Linked DNA regions of Drosophila melanogaster. The main gene of each other region encodes a partner of the protein of the gene in region 3 in a complex. Each region holds a gene or a part of one and is shown on either strand. Other genes may lie near its edges. The genes, in order: Spt3, Ada1-2 and Sgf29.

The links.
Region 1: Sgf29 (region 3) and Spt3 share a complex: the UniProt entries of both Drosophila melanogaster proteins name them as parts of the spt-Ada-Gcn5 acetyltransferase (SAGA) complex.
Region 2: Sgf29 (region 3) and Ada1-2 share a complex: the UniProt entries of both Drosophila melanogaster proteins name them as parts of the spt-Ada-Gcn5 acetyltransferase (SAGA) complex.

What each region holds. Positions count from the first base shown.
Region 1 is NT_033777.3:12,013,604-12,021,480, reverse strand, and holds Spt3 (Spt3), read right to left. Parts: upstream 4,326-7,877; 5' UTR 4,256-4,325; coding exon 3,101-4,255; 3' UTR 2,931-3,100; downstream 1-2,930. Other genes in the region: DCAF12 (DDB1 and CUL4 associated factor 12), read left to right, coding at 4,663-4,929, 4,999-5,553, 5,613-6,017, 6,082-6,234; GCC185 (GRIP and coiled-coil domain containing 185 kDa), read right to left, coding at 6,895-6,977, 7,041-7,158, 7,222-7,877. UniProt on the Drosophila melanogaster protein: Component of the transcription regulatory complex SAGA, a multiprotein complex that activates transcription by remodeling chromatin and mediating histone acetylation and deubiquitination. The SAGA complex predominantly acetylates histone H3.
Region 2 is NT_033779.5:11,988,304-11,996,128, reverse strand, and holds Ada1-2 (transcriptional adaptor 1-2), read right to left. Parts: upstream 3,228-7,825; 5' UTR 3,137-3,227; coding exon 2,337-3,136; intron 2,273-2,336; coding exon 2,146-2,272; 3' UTR 2,075-2,145; downstream 1-2,074. Other genes in the region: Qtzl (quetzalcoatl), read right to left, coding at 1-127, 186-315; CG18789 (uncharacterized protein), read left to right, coding at 812-888, 944-2,063; escl, read right to left, coding at 3,655-4,554, 4,610-4,799, 4,858-5,156; dgt2 (dim gamma-tubulin 2), read right to left, coding at 5,353-5,816, 5,874-6,105; zuc (zucchini), read left to right, coding at 6,305-7,066; CG34163 (uncharacterized protein), read right to left, coding at 7,494-7,745, 7,800-7,811. UniProt on the Drosophila melanogaster protein: Component of the transcription regulatory complex SAGA, a multiprotein complex that activates transcription by remodeling chromatin and mediating histone acetylation and deubiquitination. The SAGA complex predominantly acetylates histone H3.
Region 3 is NT_033778.4:21,290,324-21,298,200, forward strand, and holds Sgf29 (SAGA-associated factor 29kDa), read right to left. Parts: upstream 3,324-7,877; 5' UTR 3,174-3,323; intron 3,119-3,173; exon of another isoform or gene 3,092-3,118; 5' UTR 3,037-3,091; coding exon 2,998-3,036; intron 2,943-2,997; coding exon 2,714-2,942; intron 2,662-2,713; coding exon 2,504-2,661; intron 2,435-2,503; coding exon 1,991-2,434; 3' UTR 1,916-1,990; downstream 1-1,915. Other genes in the region: CG10505 (uncharacterized protein), read right to left, coding at 1-5; CG30392 (uncharacterized protein), read right to left, coding at 963-1,258, 1,319-1,536, 1,604-1,761; RpL29 (ribosomal protein L29), read left to right, coding at 3,737-3,838, 3,908-4,036; CG9752 (uncharacterized protein), read right to left, coding at 4,112-4,887, 4,944-5,199. UniProt on the Drosophila melanogaster protein: Component of both the SAGA and CHAT histone acetyltransferase complexes, which both predominantly acetylate histone H3.

The DNA.
Region 1 (7,877 bases), on a different chromosome or scaffold from region 3:
AATATTTAAATTTATTTCAAGCTGCATTTATTATAAACATATGTTTAACGATGATATGTTTGCAATTAAACACATATTTATAAAGAAAACATCTTCGTAATCTTTGGTGTTACAAAAGTAACATTGTTTAGGTCCTAGCCTTACCCCTAACAATTCCTTCGGTCTTATCTTATCCAGTGTCTTATGATGTAACCAACATCCTTCGACTGAGAATAGTTCGTTTCAAATTTCGCTTTTGCAACGGAGGATTCGGTGGTATTACGTTTCAGTTCATACATTTCCATTCCCAAAATGGTAAATATGAGGGGATTTTCGGGGACGACAAACTGTTGCATGCTGTTCCCACTGCTGAGTGCGCATGACTATTCCCATTTCCGTTCACTGTTAACCGCTTGAACCTGCAAGAATTGTTCCCAGTTTTTAGAAACGAAAATTTGAATTTTTATAGTGAAGTCAAAACTTATAAGTAAAACATATTAAATAAATGTAAGTTCTGTGATATTAATATCTAAATATAATTGAGAATCTATAACAAAATGCGTGCTTTAATTCTTTCTTAATTAATAATTGTTAATAACATCAATTAATTAAATACATATAAAATTAGATAAAATAATTTGCATAAATTTCACTTTAGGCTGAATTAAATTGCTGAATTCCAGACAAGGTGCTTACATCTTCATCATACTGCTGAACTTGCGACTTTCAATGAGAACACTCAATTCATATACGCATAACTTGTTTTCATCACACATCCATGCGTTCCTAACTCAAGATGTAAATAGCTGCGTTTAGGAAGTTAAAATCGTTGTTGAGTAAGTAGGTCAAGTATTTTGATCACATAATATATAATTGCTCCTGCCACTTAACTAATTAAATAAAGACAGTTTTCTTTGTGCGCTCACCTCGACCCGCCTGTCACCCACCTGCCTCCCACCTGGGCACCCAAACGCACTCGGTGGCACTGCCAATCGCACTCGGGGATGGAGTGGCATGACCATGGATGCTGTGCCACCAATGACAATGAGATGAGAATGCCCTTGGGCTCCGTTCATAGGACGGATAGGTGGATGGACGGAGCAATGGCGATGGCGTTGGCGGGATCTTTCCGTTGGAGGCGTTTAATCTCATTCATTTTGAATAAGACCGGCTCCAGCGTATTTAGCCTGAGTACTTGTGTCAACACATTCCAAGACGGTTTCAAATTAAAAGGCCGTGTAATATGCTCCTCCGAGGGACTGTTTTTGTTTTGGTTTCCTTTTATTTTTTTGCTAGCTTCTAATGGTTTATGCCTAGACAACTGTCAATGGTCTCGGGGGCTGGGCATCGGGGGAAATTGCCTCCGGCTGACGTCAGCAACTTTTCGAGAAAGCGAAAGTAATTAAAAAAGTTTAGCCGAACGGATTTTCAAAAATATCCAATTGCTAAGCCAGACATGCAATTGATGTTTCTCAACTGCACACTCTTTGTGGCAAGTTAGAGAAATTAAAAGCTTTACTTAATTAGCCGCTCAGCAAACATGTTCTTAAACATAAGTCAATTTTGAATAAAAATTTTCAATATTCATGCTATGATTTTCTGTTTACATAGTGTAATTCTATTTAACTATCATTGTTAGAAAAGTTTAGAAAACAGTATCTTTCAAAACAGTATCTTTCGAAGGATAATTAATTCTGTATTCTAAATTATTCAAGAAATTAAGGTATAGAGGCATATTTACATACATACGTATAATATGAGGGCCTTCCCTTTAAGAGAAGTTTAAGGCAACTCGGCTACAAGGGATTGGGGCATATTGACTTTACGCGGCCTGGAAATTGGCTACGTGACTTGACAATACGAAGAAATGACGACGCGACGACGAGCTCCACGGACCTGATGATGATGGTCCTGTTGGGGACGAAGCGAAGAGCCGCATGAAATGCAAATTTGGAAACATTAACAGTGAGTGTGGAGAAGTGTGGGGAGCAGTGCGCGGGGTCAAGGAAAAAAATCACAAGGACGATGCTGGAATGGAAACAAGTTGTTGGCTTAATTTCGTCACAGCCAGCTTGTTTTCATTAACTGGCCATCGAGGAGCTATCGACTGCGTTCCGGCGCTCGTTAGGCGTATGAGCAATCGATTAAGAATAATGGGCCGTTGGAATTACATCTGCAGCACAGAGCAATCAACATTAAGATCCGATTAAACTAGGATATCCCACCGAAGAAAATAACAAGAGGATACCTTTAAAGGTGCATCGATTTTAAGTCAAATTTCGGACCGCATGTTATCAGATAAACAAGCGGGTGATAGGAATAAGAAAAATTTCAAATAAATGGTTTTTAAAAGTTATTTTAAAAAGGTTTTTGGAAAAGATTTGGATTTTGCCTTTGCTATACAATCATGACCACAATTGCACATATGTACATATATTAAAAGTTCAAGTGACATTGAGCAATAATTCTTAATCCTTTTCAATTCACGGCAAAAGACAGAATGAAACCCGCCACCCATAACTGCGGAATGAATTTTAACCCCTTTACCCTTCGTTGCTATGCGTGTCACACACATTTATATGCACAACAGGAAGTTGATTATTAAGTGCGTTCGCGAGTTGCTTCTCTTAATGCCTTATGCTGCAGTCTCTCCTGCAATCCTGCGGCATCCTTGCTGGTCCTTCTCCTTCGCTCCGTCTGTGTGGCACACGTGCGAGTGCGCCTGTCGGCAAATTTCTTTATTGCGCTTTTATTTATCTGTCGGTGCCAGTTTCAACTTCGTTTACCGCTTCAATTTATCGGCTCCATGCGAGGCAGATTCACCCGTCCGTAATTGGAGTGCGTTTTTCTGTCTTTTAGTCGCAGCCTCAAAGGCCAGGATATGTGCCACAGGCAAATTGAATTAATGAATATGCCTAGTTGTTCTTGACCTCTCAGGAAAAAACTTTTTTAACGAGCCAAAATTGCTTTATTTTATAATTTGTATAATTAAAATGTAGAGCGCGTTAATTGTTGGGGATTGAATTACTTTAAATGAATTAATTGTACAGTCTATTTTTTGTGAATAAAATCAATAATTGACGCAAATAAAAATAGGCGAGGATATTAAGATCATTAAAACTTAAATGGCTAGAAAACTGCGCCGGAAATCGATGTCGCAAGAGTTGCGATACCGCCCAATCTTACGGCTGCTCATTTGCCGGAAACGGCGCATGGCCTCGTGGATCTCCGGTACACTGATTGGCTTGACCACCTCCATGCCGCGACCCTGTGTGACCTCCGGACAGACGTGCATCATAGCCGGACTGCCTCCGGCGGAGGTCACTCGGCTGTAGGGCTCGGTCGCACGGTTGTCCGAGTTCAGGCGCGTCAGGATCGAATAGTCGACAATGGCGGCAATGGTCTCATGCGCCAGATAGGCCAAAATGTTCATTGTCGGCGTTGGGATGCGAAGGTCCGCGGGCAGGTCCAGAAAGCGGCGGAACTTGTTCTTGATCTTCTCCCCATGGCGGCAGTAGAATGACGTCTTGCGCGCCTCATTGAACTCCAGGTATTGCTGGCCCGTAAGGATCTGCGATATCCGATCTGCGCGGAATAATCTTCGCATTCGGTCCTCGTCGTGTAGCTCGTACACATCGATGGCCAGCTCCTCGTCCTCCTCCTGCTGCTCCAAGTCGTCCATGAAGTCCTGCGGCCTTCCCGTGCGGATACTAAGGAACCTTTTGAGTATGCGCATATCCTTGAGGTGCTTTCGCATCCGAGCTATCTTCACCGGATGGTTGCGCATCAGGAACTCAAAGTCCGCCTGCGACGGGCAGGGATTCTGTTTCCGCCGCATGGCCACCAGCGAAGCCTCATTGAAGATGCCGCGCAGCTGCTGCTGCAGGATCTGCTCCACCAGCTTGACACTTCCCGTCCTGGGCTGATCGCTGTCGCCGAAGCTTCGCATGATATCCGCAATCTCTGTGAGCAGTGAGACAGGTGCATCATCCGGAATGAGAACGTTGGCAACGTTGCTCCCGCTGGCACCACCGGCTACATTATGTCCAGCTAGGTTGATCTGCTGTGGCGAGGGATTCGTCGGTATGCTTCCACTTTGCAGCAGAATCACTTGGCGCTGCACAAGCAGTGGCTTGATGTCCTCGGTGGTCTGCAGTTGCGGCGTGCTGGGCGCCGAGGGCGGGGCAGGTCCAATCATTATCGGCGACGCTGCCATGTCGTTGGAACCCACGCAAACCGAGTTCTGTCGCATTACTCGCTTGGCGTTGTAGTTCATTTTATTTACAAACAAAGTCACCACTTCAATCGCAACAGCTGATTTCGTGAGAATAGATAAAACCCTTTGTGAAAGCGATGGCCTATCGTTAGGGATGAACGATAGTGTAACGCATTTGTGCGACATCCGACTTTATATAAATACTGTATATTATATATATATTATTATATATATATATATATTCAGGTAACCAGAGCGGCCGAGTATTGTGCCAAATAGAAAAATGTCAACACTTGTATTTTTATTTCCCTTAATTTGTATCTCTGCATTAAATGCAAAACAATCGGTTCAGCAAACTTCAGTTCCGAACCAGTAGTTCCACTGTAGTCTACGCACCACCATTTTTGTTTGCGGATGATAACCCGTAAAGCAAAAGACAACAAATCGGATTAAACAATTACCTTAAGATGTTCAACGGGATGGTGAGAACCATCCGCGACAGCGTCGTGGGCACCTATCCGTCCTGCCACGTATCCTCGCGGCTGGAGGAGCGCAGGGCCAAGCAGCGGGCGATGCGACAGGAGCGTAGACGAAAACCGGACAAACCAGACGACTTTGTTACTTACGAGGATTCCGGCAGCGACGAGGAGACGCCCCAACAGCAGGAGGAGGTCCTGAACACATCCTACAACCTGTGCGACTACCTGCGCAGCCGGGAGAGTGGACTCCGAGATGTGGGTATATGTTGTGAAGTCGCACCACTTGCATTGCTAACGTGAACTTTGTCCCACCATCCTCTGCAGCGTCGCAGTGTCAATGTGGAGTACACCAGCCGCTATGTGCTAACCCACGACATGCTGCGCGAGACGCAGATTAGTCTGGGCTACATCAACAAGGTCTTCTGCTCCAAGTGGCTGAGCAGTCGACAAGTGGTTTTCGGGACCAAGTGCAATAAACTGCTCGTCTACGATGTGAACATGCGCCGGGTGGACGCCATCCCAACGCTCTCAAATAGCCGGGCAAACCATCCTGAGGTCCAGGGTGGCCTGCATGCCATCGAGCTGTCGCCCAGCCGATCCTTCCTAGCCACCGGTGCGCGCAACTCCTCCGATATTGCTGTTTACCGACTGCCTACGCTGGATCCCGTCTGTGTGGGCGAGGGTGGGCACCGCGACCTTATAATGGGCATGTGCTGGCTGGATGACCAGTTTCTTGTGTCCGGATCGAAGGACTCGCGCATGGCTCTGTGGCGCATCAACGAGGATCACATGGAGTTTCCAGATGGCGGCGAGGAAGCGTGTCCCACATTCGCAACCATCCACCCCCTTAGTGTCAAGGAAGTTCGCACTGCCCAGAGGGTGAGCTTATGAATGCAAATCAAATCAAAGAACCATTTTATCAATAAGATCTTTTACAGATTCGATCTCTTTGCTTCAACAAGGAGTTTAAGGAGATCGCCGCCCTCTCGCTGAACGGATACATTCACATCTTCAATGCGGAGACCTTCAAGCAGACACTCTCACGAAAGCTGCCAAACTGCCAGGACAACGTGAGCATCGCCTACCACAGCGACGGCCTTTATGCCGTTGGATGCCGTTCCTATACCATCCTTTTGGACGCCCGAACCCTTCAAACCATTAAGAAGATCACATCTCGATACAGTGGCTGCGGTATACGGGCGACTTCGTTCGAAGGTAACCTGCTCACCGTTGGCACGGGTCTGGGCATGCTCCTATTCTACGACATTCGAGCCGGAAAGTATTTGGAGAGCAGTGTGAATGCCTCGCGCACAGTCGCACTCAAGTGCAGCAAAGGAATTGTGGTAAGTGAAGAGGTTACAGTTCCACAAAATACACCAATTCACCTAACTGTTTTGTACATTTCAGTATCCGGAGGATGAGATGGATGGCTTCCAGCAGGTGAAGTATGTGCCCGCCATCTACACCCACTGCTATGACAGCACTAGGATGCGCCTCTTCGCTGCAGGAGGACCACTGCCGGCGACTTTGGTGGGCAACTATGCGGGCGTTTGGCAATAGATTGGCATAGGATCCGATCCGGGCTCACAATACTGATTAGTATTTAAGTAGTTATTCGACTTGTGATCTTTAATCTTTTGGCGCATTTCGATTCAAATCGTTCACCTGCATATGTATTCCGCCAAGACAGAATTTTTATTTAACTTGATTACTCACTTTTGGTTTTAATGAAATTTATGTAAGATTTATGTTAATGATATTTTATATTGTGTGTAAACAATATACACCGTTTAAAAGTGTAAATGTAAGCATAAATACCGATCCTATTTATATATAGTACATACAATACAAATAATGGAATACTAATTTATAGACAATGCATCTGATTTATAGTCTGATCTATATGGTAATAGAATTTCAAATTAAACAAACCATTGAAAAACATTGTTTTTAAATATATGCAAAGGCTTTCTTCAATCTACAACGCGCATATTGCCGGTGGTGCTGTATAGGGCACTCAACACAACGGGTGTGGACAAATTACAAGAGTGTACAAAGTACGATGTGCCAAACAGCAACGAGCAATTTTAAAATACATTATATATAAAAGGGAAATTGTACAAGATTTACAGAATGAATGCTATGCAACTGCCCAACGACTGACGACTATCCGCATCCAACAAGACGAATATTTATATATTATATATCCTATGATGTTCGCTAGTTGTTATTATTGGGACTGCCTCCTCCACTCCACGCAGTGAGGAATCCCGTCCAGCTGCGACTGCTACCATCTGCAGAAACTAAAAGCAATATCTTAATACAAGAAACCATACTAAAATTTAAATTTTTCTGCTAGTAGTTACCTTTCTGTCCCTTGGCCACACAGTTCAGCATTTCCATTTCGTTGCGACTCAGGCGGAGAATGGTATTTAGCACGGGAACCAAGCGCTGCCGCTCATCGACATTGTTTAACGTAAGGAACTGCAAGTTTATAAAGTAAATAGATTAAGCCCGTGGATATAGTTATTGCGTTCCTGATCTCACCTTTAAGAAGACGTTCTTCAAGTACTCGGAGTTGTGCATGTGTTGTTCACGTTCCTCGGAGCGCTCTTGGCGGCGCAATTCTTCCTTGAGCATGTCGTTCATTTGGGTCAGTTTAGCCAAATCCTGTTCGTTTTCGGCCAACAGGGCAGTCAAGTGCTTGACACGACTTTCCTGGATGCTTAGGCGTTCTTTTGTGGCCTGAAGCTGGGCACTTTGGACGGAAAAGTCTCCCCGTGCGGCCATTTCCGCTTCCTCGTCCTCCTGCTGCGAAACGCTGCGTCCGAAATTAGAGATGGTAGTCACGGTATCGCTGGTTATTTGGTTCATTGATGTGTTGAGCAGCTCGTCAAGCGGCATGAAGTCGTGGGAACGTCTCGAGGCAGTAGATATCTTTCGCTGAGCAGCCAGTTGGGCCAGAGAGACGTCTCCAGCGTGGCCATCCAAGCCTGTTTCGTGGTCCATAAGCAAGTAATCGATCTTTGCCTGCTCTGGACTGGTGTCCACGCTCGCGGCGGATGCAGTGGTATGCTGAGAGACGTTTGCTTGCATCTTTTGCGCTTCCTCCAGTTGCTCCTGCACCTGCGTTAATTGCAACTGGTGCCCGGCGTCCAGCTCATCAACTTGCTGGCGATGCTGCTGCATCAGGTCGTGTTGGA
Region 2 (7,825 bases), on a different chromosome or scaffold from region 3:
AGATAGGGGAGCATAGCGTCCAATACACGTGGGTCCATTGGAGTGGTGGCCTGGGCATCCAGGTAAAGTGGTCTACCCTCGGTCTGTTCGTTCTTTATGTTGAATCGCACCTGTCTCTCCCGGAATTCTACGAACGAATACGATTTTGGTAAGCGGTAACTGTGCATCTTGGAGGATCCGCTTACCTTTGGATGTGGCGGCTGGTTTAGCCGCTGTCCTGGAGGAGGTGGCCTCGTGTCTAACCACATTGGCTAATGCATTCGTCGCCCGGGAGCGGAGGACCTGCGCCTGGATGCGTCCCAGCACTTTTTGCATTCTGATGGAATCCTAGAAATTCTGGTGTTAAAATTCGTTATCACGGATTTCACAATCAGTGGGACCGTATTCGGCGGCACGAGATATACCAAAGGACTCCGGAATTCACTTTAAAATTATCTGATTCGATTATGCAGAAGCAAGTTTCTGAATTTCTTTGAACATATGAAAAATGAATAGCATCTGTGCAAGAAACCAATATTTTTCAGATATATTCGCACTTAATGTATAATTTACAAGGAACTATATTTTCAAAAACCAGTTTTCATCTTAAATATGTTTGCTTACAAAATTATCTTAATCATTCAGCGAACTTAAGTTACGAATTCACGAAATTGCGCGCATAGGCACGGTATATTTTTCTCAGTGAGCCATAAAATACTCAAAGAATACTCAATACGCAAAGTAAGACAATTATAAACAAAAGTACAAAAGTTGAAGCAGTTTTGAAATAATAAATATAGGAAATAGGCAAAAATTAAAATCAAATTTAAATATGGTTGTCTGCCGGTTCTTTCAACAAGGCTCCTGCCGCTATGGCGCAAAGTGCAACAACGAGCATTTCGATGTTAAGTGAGTACATTGATATTAAAACTATGCAGATGAACTAATAACTTAATTATTTTAGGCAATATCTCAAAGCCGACATGGAATCCAGCCTCAATGGCAAGATGTGGCCTTTGTCCGCCTACGGACCCTTTAAGGACAAAGCGAATTTCCCCAACTTTATTCAGGACCAATCCTTCGAGGAGGTGCGGTTCATGTGTTACGAGGCCAAACGACAAAACCAATTCGAACAGTTCAGCCAACAGTTTAACCGTGAGGTCCTAGAGGCTAACAACAAGATGAAGACCATGCTTCAGATGTCGCCGCAGGTCCTGGAAATGATGATCAAGATCCACGAGACGCCGGAGGGCGGCACTGTGTCGGCTGCCCCTCAGCAGTCCAGTAATCCCTTCGCTGCAGCAGCTCCGGCTGCCGCCAATACATCTGCATCCATTTTTGGAAAGCCCACGCTGAGTGCGGGAAATATATTTGGGAATGCCACAAGCCAAGCCAGCAACACCAATAGCATTTTCGGCGGAACGATTAGCAATGCCAATGCAAGGAATAGCATTTTTGGTGTAGGAGCTGCGGCAACAGGTGCACAAAGTGTCTTTGGACAGCCACAGCAGCAACAGCTGCAGCCTGCTGCACAAGCTTTCCAAGGGGGCAACATTTTCGCCCAGGCGCAGGTTCAGGTGCAAGCTCAGCCAGTGAATCCTAATCCTTTCGGTGGTTTCCAACAGCAGCAGCAGCAACCACAGTCGACGGGAATCTTTGGCCAAGCCGCAAGCCAAAATATGGGCGGAATGTTTACTCAGGCTTCTCAGCAACTACAACAGCAGCAGCAGGCAGCTGCCTCCGGATTATTTGCTCAAGCAGCAGCATCTGCATTCCCTAATCAACAACAGATGCAGCAGCAGCAACAGATGCAGCAGCAGCAACAGATGCAACAGCAACAAATGCATCAGCAGCAGCAGATGCAACAGCAACAAATGCAGCAGCAGCAACAACAATTTCAAATGCAACAGCAACAGCAAATGATGCAGCAGCAGCAGCAGCAAGCTCAACCGACCAACGAAATCCAGTCCTCAGTTTACAGTCGCATGGAGGATCTCAACGAGCAGGAAATCGAAGCATTCAAGGCGGATCAATTTCTACCAGGTGCCTTGCCATTCAAACCGCCTCCACGGAATTTTTGCTGAACCAAACACTTAATGGTACACTAGCGTATAATGTATATATTTTTACAGAAGCTGATATAATAAAATAATTAGAACTTATAAGCTAATGCATCATCATATTGAGTCGTTCCATGTTTATAGAGTAGACGGCATGCGAGCCTATCAGGTTGCGATCCCGTAAGGCCAGTTGGCAGTCCTTGAGGGTGATTACTGTGCGTTCGGTGGGTTGGCTGAAAGAAACAAAACCTAAGTTTGTGTTTCACATGAAAATCTCATTATTATTCAGGAGCTTACACTTCTTCGCAGGCGGAGAGGAAGGTCACATCGTCGTTCTGTCGCCGCATAAAGTTGGCCGTATTCAGTTCCTTGTCCAGTTCCAGCGGCGTGTCGTCGACCTTCTGCCGGGTGACGGTGTTGCGCAGCGAAGGATCACGCAACGGAGCACCTACATCGTAGTAAAAGTTTCCCTCGCCGCTGGTCTTGTAGTGCTTTCGTTTCTTGATGATTGCCGATAGTAGATCCTTGAGCAGAACTTGCACGGCCATGGCAACGTACTCGGCGACATTGTCGTCCACGGAGACAAGTCCGATTTCCCAGGCACCGATCAGAAATCGTCCCATAATGAATCCCGCGTCGGGCAGGAAAAGTTCCTGCGCGCAGTACCGCTGCGACTGAAGCTGTTGCTGTTGCTGGTCCGACGGAATACCGATCGTGGTTGGCGGACGAATGATTTGCATGTTGTCCTCGGCTACAAAGTCCAGGACGTCGCTGAGCTCAAAATTAAGGCGTTCGGCGAAGGTGCGGGAACTTCTTTTGCGCCGTTTGCTTCGGTTGCCACTACTGCTGCTGGTCTGGACGGCCGGAGGATTCTCCAGGGGAGCAAAGGCGTCGATCTTGTTGAGCAGGGCGAGCAGGAACTGATTGTGCAGGTGCAGTTTGTCAGGTGTTAGGATTTTCCGCGACTCCGCATCGAATTCCTCCTTAGTCCAACGGCTCCGAAACCAATTCTTCATGTTGGCCCGGTAACGCTCCCAGTTGTCGCCCAGAGCCACCACTAGCGCCTCCTTGGTGGCCAGAACTCTGTCGGTAAGCATTTTAGTAATGGGAATAACAACTAAACAGGAAAATCCAACTGTTTGCGAATTGCTATATAAACAAATGAATGCAGCTGATTCGAGTGACCGTTCAAAGAACGGCTGAAAATACCAGATACATTTGAGATAAAAACCGTTATTTTTGAAGAACCCTTTAAAAAAATATTGGTTTTAATCTTTAGTGTTCACAGTTTTTATTGTGTACAAGTTAGTTAGTTAAAATATAAACATTAAAGATAGAGCCCACGCCATTCACACAACATAAGATGATAATATTTGCGAAGCTATTTGATCATTAAAAAAGTAATAGAATAGAATAAATATCTTGGTTAATGTTAAAAAATTTAACATAATTTAACATAAATTGTCAATACAATGAGTATTGTATATAAATGCTACGCATAATAACATACTTAATATTGAAGGTAAACATTACACTGAAAATAACTATGGTTACATAAATATGGTATCGGATTTAGAAGGATAAGGAAAATTCTTTTAGCCTAGAAACACTCATCCTAATTGACGCGATCCCATCGCCACACGGTGCTGTCGTCGCACACGCAAACTAAAATGGAACCGTCTTTGGAGAAGGAAGTCTGTCGGATGGTGGAGTTGCTTTTGGGATGAACCAGCTGGCTACACTTTGTTAAATTGGGATCATTGCAGTCCAATTCCCAGACAAATGTTGTGCCCAGTTGATTGCCCAAGGCCAGAATCTTTTGCCAGGCGTTGAAGGCGAAGCGTACGAACCAGATCTCGCACATCTTGTAGTCAAAGTGATGCAGCACCGTGGTGGCCGACTCCTGTGGCTTAATCTCATGCCACGATTCTGAAAGTTTGCCCGGCTTCCAGCAAACAATTGAGTTCTCGCAGGATTTCGAAAAGACAAAGTCGCCGAACCACTGAACGCAATCCACATAATTTCGATGTATATCCCTTGTCGAGAAGTCCGGAAAGTGCTCCTTGATCGTGGGAAACGGACCCGTATTCTTGTTGGGACTAAAACCAGAGCTCAGCTCGATGGCCTCTTTTATATCGGGCTTATCCAGTCGCCAGAGCTTCAGTGAGTGATCCATTCCACTGGACATGATGCGATCACCGCGCAAATCAAAGTCCACAGACAACACTTCGTCGCGGTGTCCTTCTACGCCGCCGAAAACCGCCACACACACGTCCGACTGAATGTTCCAAAGGCGCAGGGAGTGATCCTTGCTGCCGGACAGAAGTAACTGCGGTCTAGTCGGATGAAACTTCAGCTCGTTAATGGCGTGCCCGTGACCAATGTAGTTTTTGCTGCACTGGTGCTTAACCGGATTGAATATGCGAATGACGCCGCGGTAACCAGCCGCGGCAAGCACAGGATCGCCGGTCACAGAGTCGTAGGACCAAGCGCATGTGTAGAAACTTTCATCGGTCTAACGAGGGCGTAACGATGATGTATGTAAGTAATAGCATATGATGAGTACTTACATCTGGGTCTGCGTAGACTTGCAGCAGTCGAATGCCTTCGCAGGACTCCTGTCCGGTGCTCCTCTCGCACTCATAAATGGAAACCCGATCCTTGCCAACGGTGGCGAACACCTGCGGCTGGCCTCTGTCCAGGAACGGATTGAACTGCACTCCGAAGATCTGATGGTTGTGGTCCTCGCGGACATGGGAGCTGCAATGCATCCGGGATATAAACATTATGACTTATGTTCTGCCTGGAAAAATCACACCTATATTTGTACAAGGGCTGAACCATTTTGGGTGCCTTGATCCGCCGACACAGGCGGTTCAATTTTCGTGTATTTGGCGATTTGCTTCTGGTGGTGGTCGTAGTAGTGCTGAACAAACTGGCGGTGTCCTCCCGATCCACGGAATTAACTTCGTGCTCATCATCCGGCTCCACAACATTGCAGACACTCGAGGAATTATTGCTCAGCACTGCCTCCGCTGGAGAGTGGTCAGTGGATTCGTCCTCTGCCGGTGGCTCTTCGCTCGGAGGAGATATTTCACTGGGATTCGTTTCGGTCATATCTGTTTTATTCCGGCAAACTTAAAAGCTTCTTTTGTTTACAAATTGTTTATCCCTAGAGTGACCGTCTGCAAATACTGCAGTGCAAAACAGTGTTGCCATTCTAGAGCGAAAAGACCTAAACGAACAACCCTGTTTAAATCACAATTATAATGTATTTAAAAATCTAATTTACATAATACTAGTTTGCTTAAATCTACTTCTTGGCGGCGAGCAGCTCGTCCAGGTGCGCCTCCACCTCCTTATGTGCCTTGACGCTATGTTCGGTGCGAGAGGCGGCCTCGTGGACGAAAAATCCGCGCAGTAGTTCTGCTTTTGTTTGAACAAGTTGCGCCTGCGCCTGTTGCAATTTTAGTTCGTTTGCCAACTGCGGCCCCAATTTCAATTCGGCGGTCTCCTTGAGAAGCGTGCACTTACGAGTGAGAAGCGCAACCAATTTCTCCAGACCGCTGCGATGCTCCTCCTCCAGGCGCAGAATCTCCTTTTGGTCGCAGCTTAAGTCCGCCTCCTGGCCAAAGGCGTCCGGGAACTCCTCGCGTATCCTGTCGCACAATTCGGCAATGGGTTGCAGAGTTGTGCGTAATTGAGCGGACAATTTGGTACGCACCGTCTTGCGATCCGTGTAATTCAAGGGCGGAAAACTGCTGCCGCTCGGTAGACCTGTTAGATTTCCAATGGTTATTCACTGCTTTTGGAATAAACTTGTAACGCGCCTACCAAGCACCTGCTCCTGACCAGCTCCCTCCATCTCGCCGAGTCGCGCATAACTTCCAATGGAAACCAATTTGAGGGCTCTTTTGATTTCATCACTCGGATTTGGGCCCACATCCAGGCGTCTTAGCTCGTCCAGCACTAGCTTCAGCTTGAGCACCTTCTTCAGCTCCGCATCGCGAGCCAGCCGCAAATCTTCCGAGTGTTCGGGCAAGAGCGTGGCGGATGGATCATCCATTTAGGTGGTAAAATGCTTAAATTGACCCGAAATTGATTGTTTGATTCGAATGGGCAAGCGCATGGCTGCGATACGGCAACGCTACTGAGCAACAGTGTGACCGGTAGCTACTAACGATAATATATTTTACTTATATTTTATAATGGTCACCCCAAGATTATTATTTAAAGCGCGCTAGAGAAACGAGCTAAATTCAAAAATGTTGATTACCCAAATAATTATGAAACAAATTCGAGACTATCCCATTGTGTCCACAATAAGCATTGCCGTCAGCACTGTCCTGGCCTCAGAGGTGATTTGGAAGCTGGTGCAGTGCTCGCGCAGCAAGCGAGAGAAGGCAAGCCGCGTGCACGAAGTGATCATCTTCAATGAACTGGGCGAGATCTGTGCGGCGGTGCATATGCGCAACAGCAGCATGGGATCCCAGAAACCACAAGTGTCGCCCTGCTGCAACACGCATTGTTCGCTGCGGAATGTGGCCAAGATCGTAGAGCAGATCGATCGGGCTGTATACTCCATTGACCTGGCCATATACACCTTCACCTCGCTTTTTTTGGCGGATTCAATAAAGCGGGCCCTGCAGCGCGGCGTGATTATCCGGATCATCAGCGACGGGGAGATGGTCTACTCCAAAGGTTCTCAGATCAGTATGCTGGCACAATTGGGAGTTCCAGTTCGCGTCCCCATTACCACGAACTTGATGCACAACAAATTCTGCATAATCGACGGCTTCGAGCGCGTCGAGGAGATTCGTCTGCTGAGGAAGCTCAAGTTTATGCGTCCGTGCTATAGCATCGTGATCAGCGGCTCCGTAAACTGGACGGCTCTTGGACTGGGAGGCAATTGGGAGAACTGCATTATCACAGCTGACGACAAACTCACAGCCACGTTTCAGGCGGAATTCCAACGAATGTGGCGGGCTTTTGCGAAGACCGAGGGGAGCCAAATCCAGCTCAAGTAGAAATCAATTGATTTAATGTATGACTACCAAACAGTTCCTCAGTATGCCAAATAATTATAGTTCTTATTTTCTAAGTGCCTTCAATTAAACTAAAACTTTTTAAGGCAGCTTGATCTTCACACACAAAGGAGTGCCAAATTAATTAAGCAAAACAAAAGTAATCAAAATGTATACCTAACAGTATAATCCGTATGAAATCTTTATCACTTCGATTGAGTTGACTAATTTTCAACGTGCATTTAGTTATGATCAGCTTTGACTATATATATAACTTTCTACTTTATTCATCATGTTATTGAAAGCTTTTAAGTAAATAAAAGTTAATTACAAAAAAGATTACATGTATGTATGTACAAAACATTCCGAAATATAACTGCTACAGATTTCTTTACTCTTATATAGTTTCTAAACCAAACCAACTTATCAACTATTTGTCCTGTTGCTTCAGCTTATCAGCGCGGCGCATAAATGACTCCTTTAGGCCGTTGAGTCGTTCGATTTCTGCCAGAATCTCATAATATTCCAGATAGGATACACCCGATTTCAGTAATATTTCTTGTTTTAAAGTGAGCACGCGGGCGACTTCCTTTTGCTTGCGATGCAAAGCGTTCAGTTTGAGCGAAACGGACGACTCCTTGGGCGCCTTGGACTTCTTGTCGTTCTTTGATTTCTTGGACTTCTACGGGGATCAAAATGAAATAAGTTTTAGGTCGCAAATAATTTGTTTACGTACTTTAATTTCCATTGTTTATGTGGAGA
Region 3 (7,877 bases):
TCCATGGCTCCATATGCTCGCGGCGCCAGACGGATTGAATATGCCCCAAAACGGACGGTCGAAGGCGCTTTTAACGACTTCAGCACTCACAGACGGAGCAGTGACGTCTGTGGATTATTTGTCCGGAGAACCACCATCTTCTACGGTTTGCACTTGGCACAACGCCTGTCCAAACGGCGATAAAGTGGCCAACTCAACACGTTTTTTGAGAGTTCACCGCTTTTGATAGTGATACGTAGTGATAGTGACTAAGGCGTAATCGATAGCGCAATTAGACTGCAATTGAAACGGCGGCCATTACTGCAATTTGCGCTCCAAAAGTTAGCTCGCTAAGCCCAAATGGCCATATATCTTGACTGGATTCTGGAGATATAGGGGAGTTTTAGCGGTCTTTGTCTTGGACCATAATCACAAGCAGATACGCCAAGCCATTTGTATCCGAAGTGGGTTTTTTATGAGGTAGCATTCCCCCAGCAGCTTATCTAATCGGGATCGCTTATTATGCTGTTATATTTGGAACTGGCACGAGAAACTATGTTTGTCCAGGTTGACCAAGTTCAATACACCCAGAGATAAGACAAGTTTTCATTCATGACTAAAGCTTTAATGGCGTTAAAATACGGGGGATTTTGGAAATATTGCACAGCCTGTGGACAAGGCGATAGATGAGCGATTGCAGGCAATTCAAAATGCAAAATTAAAACTTACGTCTTAGGAAACGAATACTTGCAGTTACACAATCAATACAGAAAATTTTAGCTACATAATCTACGCCGGGGTAGACACCAGATCTGATAGAGAGTTAGATACAGTACAAAAGCATATTATAAAAGTATGGTATAATATCATATTATAGGCATCTTTTCTGGCTAGGGTAAAGTAGGGAAACTTTGGTATTTATCACTCTATCAGATCTTTTGAATGCCCCAGATGTATAGATATGGATTATGTATGTATGGATTCTAAGGCAGGCTGTGTAGATCGTATAGCGTGTAGAGGTCTTCTGTGCGATCGTAGTTGGTTCTCATATGCTTCAGCATGGAAGGCAGGTTCTCTTTGGCCGCCTCGACATCGGAGCACACTTTCTTGAGAAGATCTCCCCTAGTGGGCATCGCGTACATAGCCAGGCGCGCTCCTTTGCGGATGAGGAATGAGTGATGCTTGCCCAGGGTGTCATCGTAGGCCTCCTTGCACACGTCCACAGTCTTTTGGTCGTCGGGTATCGCCTGGATCCGATTGAGAAACTCGTAGACAAAGTCTAGATAAGAAGAAACCAATCAATTAGCCACTGTGGCAGTTATATGCGCATAACGCTCACCAAGACCGCGATGAAGACGTAGCAGCGTTCGACTGCCAGACACGTAACCCTTCTGAGTAAGCAACTGGGCCTCCTTCTCGTAATCCAGCATGGTTCTGAAGGTATTAAAGTGTTCCTGCTCCTCCGCGTCCTTGGCTCTCAGGGCGTATAAGATATCTATTTTACTGCGCACATCGCTGCTGACAAAACTGAAGACACTGCCCATGAGCTGGAAGAACCTAATGAACACCGAAAGCCCAATAGAGCACCACTAAAAAACATAAACATCATAATCACTCAGTTTACTTCATTATTTCCTCGTAGGCTGCCAAGTATGCGTCTAATTGTACGTCATCCTCGTCCAGAAGGCTGGTTTCGAACAAATTAGACACTTTGAGGATATCAAAACAGTTTCCATTTTCCGCCGTGCCATTGGTCTGCGTCGCTAAGCTCGTTTTACTCATCTTATAAGCCTGCCTTTCCCCTTTGTTTTCCTACAAACTTTAAAGTCTATTTATTTTTTTTAGGAAATCAATGTAACCGTTCTCCAAAAAATCCGGTATTAAAATACCACCCTGAAATTACTTTCTTCTTATTCCAGACAGAAACCAGTCTATTGTGAATTGAATACAATTTTAATTGGAGCTATTATTACAATTACATTTAATTCTTAAAGTTAAGATAATACATTTTTTATGCTGATGATAGATTCCCGCTGCCACTGCCAGCCCCCTTTTTCGTTGGACGATATGCAATCACATAGCGCTGTGCGACCGGCAAGGGTTCGGCATAGCCATTCGTGTACGATGAATCCTCGAATAGCACCTCGTAATCCTCGGTGGCGGTTTGCGGCAGGCGATGGACAATGGCCTTGTAGAAACAGGTGGTCTGTGGATATAGCGCCATTACCACTGTGTCCTTGGGGAAGAGGGCGTGACCATCGGTCTCAGGATTTGCACGCATTAGAGGCAGTGGGATGACCTTTCGCTTGCTCAGCACATGGCGATCCTTTTGCTCCTCGTCAATGTCAATTACGTCGTATTTGTTTTGACGGTGAAGGAACTGCACCACTTCCGCCAGGATCCAGTTCTCCTCCTCATCAATTCCCTTAGCTAATGCGGCAACATTGTCGCCAACCTATACAGTGGCGTCCGATTAGTCAGATCATCATCCCAGCTTCTTTGTCCAATCAAAATGAATGCTTACCTTGGCCACATAGTTCCCCTCGGCGGGAATGGCTCCACATAGAGCTGGTGCTCGTTCTCCTAGTTTGCCAACGAATAACGGCAACGTTTGCGCTGAGAGCTGCACCATTTTCATAAGGGCGCCCCGTCGAATGGCCTCCTTATTTCCAGCGTTGCGAGCTGTGGAATATGCGAGATTAAATCCTGTTTATACATCCCATCACTAACCCACCTTGGATGCGCCTCTCATTGCGAATGCTTCGAATCTCGTGGATTTTCGCCAGTGCGGCTCGGATTGTGGCCTCCTCCTGCGCAGCCTCCGTTAAACTGGCCTTGAGCAGGGGCTTAACCTTCTGATTGGTGGCGTGCAGAGATCGCACCAGACTAGCAATGGAGTTTTCCGCACGACGACGCTCCTCGTCCACATTGTGAATGTTTTGTTGAATGTCCTTCAGGCGATCCTGTAAATGCCATATAAATATAGTATATATCGACATTTATTGTTAACATCTTTACCTGAATCTGTTGGGCGGCACTCTCCGCAGTCAGTGGCATGTTGTTTCGATATTATAACAATATAATAAATTTGTTTTTTGAACACTTTGTTTACCTACGCAATGAAAACAAAAACAAGCATAAGCGTAAAGTCGACAACGCGTTAGTATTAACTATGCGATAGTTTTATATTTTACCTCAGTATTTTTTTAATCTTAGCAAATTTTATTTTACAGAGTAAAACAGAGTAATTATTGTTAAGATTTTTGTACCGTATAATCTCATTATTTGACTTTAGTGGATCTTTTTCTCAAACTCGAATATTTACTTTTCAAAGTTGTTTACGTTTCTTACATTGGAGATGGAAGCAAGTGCGCCTAACAGCACGCAGATAACAGCACGATATCTTCACGTGGTTGGCGTTATTTAGTCCCTTTTCTGCGCTCTATGACAGCCTCTCTGGCTTTCCCTTCTTTTCCATCGCGTTTCCGTAAGTGTGCTCCGCGTTTTTCCAATTGGCTATTTTTATTTATAATATCTTCAATTGCAGCTAGGAATTCCAGTGTGCGAAAAACGTAGGTGCCTAATACACGAGAAATGCAACGAAAATTTCAACAGTTGTTGGCTTTTTGTTCAACTGGCGTTGGCTAAAAGTGAACTCCAAGTGTTAACCCCAAGCTAAAATTATAATGGCGAACATTTTTTCTGTTTTCATGTGCCGCCCCATCAACGAATCTTTGGATACCCGGAGTAGTTTAAGATGGCCAAGTCCAAGAACCACACAAATCACAACCAGAACAAGAAGGCCCATCGTAATGGCATCAAGCGCCCGCTGCGCAAACGCCACGAGTCCACTCTGGGTGTAAGTATTCAAAAATATGCATATTTAGTTAGCATCTAGAGTTGATTTTAACAACCTTCCCGTCTTTAGATGGATGTGAAATTTCTGATCAACCAGCGCTACGCACGCAAGGGAAACCTTTCCCGCGAGGAGTCCGTGAAGCGCTACAACGAGCGCATCGCTTCCCAGAAGGGCAAGCCAAAGCCTGTTACTCTGTAGATGATTGCCCCGCGTGTGGATAATTAAAGGACAATTCAGTTTAACAAAGAACCGTCTTTATTTGTGTTGCCGTCGTTAGTAGTAGATGCTCAGCACCTTGTGGAAGGGAATGTGCTCCAGGTCGGCATTGTGCCGACGCCGGTAGTCCCACAGATATTGGTCGATCACAATGGAGTTGACGTTGTCCAGTGAGATTTCGGGGTGCTGCTCCTTGAGTATCTTCACCACAGCATCCCTAACTTGTTCGATGATGTATATAGATGCGCCGCGTATCTCCACCTCTCGGGGATCGCCGTTCTCCAGAATAGTATCCGTCTTTAGGAACTCCATTAGCTCACTGGTGTACTCCAAACTGCCGAAGTGCACTAGCACCTGGGGAATTCGGTAGTCAGCGAACATGGTTATCTGATCGATGTCATTAAAGAACCCAAGTCCCTGACCTCTGTAGCAGGACCACACATCGCCCACTAGGATTTGCGCTCGTTTTAGGATGGAAACTCGCTTTCCAGCAAACTCAGCCTCATCGCGAAAACAGGGAAACTCCTCCACAACGAGATCCAGCAAGCGAACTGCCGATTTCTCCGCCTTCTTGATAACATTCTCAAAACTGCCGTCGTACTTGTCGATCAGAACTTTTCCCACTTCATGGAGCGATTCCAGACGCTTTTGGAGCAGCGGAATCACTGTCTCGCCATCGTCAGAGCGGAAAATGTTCTCCACGGTTTTCAGATCAATCTGGGAATAGAACTTGGGATTGATCACATCCACGCCTTCCTTGATGGCTCTCTTAATCGCAGCACACAGCGCAAAGTAGCCGGTATAGCCATCGACCTTATATTTGGTGTAGTTATCTGCGGAAGATTACCATTGAAGATAGTGGATGCTGCTATAAATATCAATTACTCACTGGGGGTCCAAAAGCAAAAGTTCAGGGTGTCCAACACAAAGACCCAGTCGGCTGCTTTGGAATAATCCTCCGGCTGATTTGGATTGGGATGTAATTCGTGCTGCGAGAAGTTTTCCACAGCAATGCGTTTTTCTATTAGGCCTTTTACGATTTCCTGGGTCAGTTTCTCAATGCCTGCAGGCAGAATACGAACATGCTTGGCATTTTCTACGATATAGGCTCCAGATTCCCGGGGACTTAGTTTGCTGCTGGACATTTTAACAATTTTATTAATGTTTTTAATTAAGATGTCGCGACTTTTGGCGCTGTAACAGGCGTTTTGGTTTATTTAGGAGATTCGGGATGGTAAGTAGTCTGGTAACGCCACCAGGGCTGCAGACACGCCAGAACAGTTTCGGCCCGGTGGCAGCGCTGAAATAACACATGAAGGAGCTGCGAATTTCGCTCGTTGCTCGCGGAATAAAATAAGCAAATAATAGTTAAATGGCAATAGTGGGTCACCAACTAGCCGCCAGTTTTTTCTAACTGATTGTGTAATGTTCTAAAAGTGAAGTGCGTACAAAAAAGAGAACGCGTACAGTGCCGTTGATTGCTTAAACAAAAAGTCATCAATTTGTTTTTGTGTGGCTTTGTTGTTTGTGAATGCCCAGGAAATATTTAATTCACACGACAGTTACTCAAGTGCCGCACGTTCTTTGTGCGATTAAGAAAAATATTTTATCGACGTTTCAGTTGGCACCCACACACTGAGCCACCCGCACTCACACAGATACGGCTACGCGGATACAGATACATATACAGATACACGTGCGCTCAGCTGTTGTCGAGAGCTGCTCAGCTGTAGTTTGTTGTCATTCCGTCTCGAGATCCAGATCCCAGAAAATCCCAAGGATATACCCCCAAAAATCCGGACACGCAGATATATATGCCCTTGATCCAGTCAGCAGGTGAGCTATCCGGTTCTGGCCCGATCCGCTGAATATGCCGCATCACACAGGCTTCATTTTAATTTGTAGACACGACTGAATCCGATAATTATATAGTATACTACTTTAGCAGTGGCCCATAAGTAGCCTCAAAATGTGCTAACAGATTGTACACTTAAATAGTTGACTTATTCTCCATCGTATTATTCACTCTTGAGTTTCCCACACACACCAAAGTAAAGTATACGTAGTTTACATAAATAAACTTAGAGACCTAGAACTTGCAATATACACACTTACAGTATAGACGCATTTATTTTTATAATAATAATAATCTATTCCGAGCCCCGCGCGGATTTCGCTTTCATCTAGCAATCGTCACTAGTTTAATTTAGTTATTTGTTTACTTTTAAAGGGAGCGCTATCGGCTGTAGGTTTTTATTTAAACTGTAATCTGTCATGTAATCAGTCATAATACCTTGAGTGCTCGAAAGTAAGGCACTCTTTATCTTTCCCCTTATCGTGCACTCCACATTTTGTATCCTCGAAGTGGGGAGGTAGCTTAAATGCGATCTAGATACACAATTTCAATACATCATCGTCAGTAATTGACCGCTCGTCAAATTTAATGTGCTAATTTGAACTGATCGTGCATTGATTTCTATATTTTTCCACAACGATCTTGTCAAGCGATGGAATCCAAATCCGTAAAGGTACTTGAGATCTTCTTTAAGCCATCCGCCTCACAATCATGTGCTAATTTGCGAGATAAATCAGACATTTGGCAATCATTGATCGCACCTGATTTCATCGATTGGAGTGTCTCAGTTTGTTTTTGTATCGTTCCGACATCTGACGGTAAGCTGCATAAATATATAGTGCAAAATCGTGAAGATGGTCGAAAATGTTCCGGTGTATTCCATTTCGCGTTTCGTGGAATCGCATTTAGCCATATCAGCAAATGGCGAAAGACGCATCTCGATTTCCCGAGTGAGTGATTCAAATAAAGTGGACACACGAACTCCAATATGAATATTTATATTTTCTTTACTCTCAGCAAATGACTCTTTTTTGATCAAAGAATATTGAACAATTACAATCCATGCCATTAGTCACTACTATTGTGATGAGTAAACGTTTTAATGATATAAAATGTAGTAATTAATATGCCAACCATATTTTATGTCGTTTGAGAAGTGTTTGAAATTGGCCATCAAATGTTTGATAAGATAACACATCTAATCCGCGTTGAGTGAGCTTTGGAGGTACGGCTTCTAGACGCTAGACGCTTCTAAATATTCTGCGATATAAATCACTTAGGTTTATGTGCCCACAAATCAATTCTTTTATTTCCTATTTTAAACTTATAGAGTTGCAAAAATAGAAACATTCTTAATTTGAGGATCTTTTTATTGTGTACTTGTGTGTATAGAATGAGTTATGCTCATTGTTGTTAGTGCTTCTCCTTAGCCATAAACAATGAGTAGCAATGAATAGTTTCCTTGCCATGAATGAGTTCTTGTCTAGTAAAACCTCGACAGACCTATTAATTTTCAAGGGTATCGATGGCTTCGGTAGTTCTGGTAGTTCGTTGGCTTTTCGCGTTTGTTTTCATTGCGACAGCCCCACATTCGCGCATCACGTGTGTGTCTGGACTGGGAACACACACGCCTAGTTTGATAAACACCCCTGTTTTTGGGGTTACTGTTTTTGGTTTTATCAAAAAAAAAAAGAATATAAGGCAAAATAAAACAAAGGAGAGCCAGGAGAGCGATTGACGATTCTCTTTCTGCGCCAGCGGTTTTGCTTCCAATTCCATTCAGTTTTCCAGCAGAGCGCGCCGCGTGCGCTCCTCTAATCGTAATCGCTGTGTTTTCCATAATATTTGAAATAGATTGCAATCGCGGCATTCGCTAATTTGCCTAGACAAACTGAATATAATATATGTTGATCGTATAAATCACCCGATTCCTCCCGAAGATGCCCAGTTTTGTGTGAATCTTAAGGC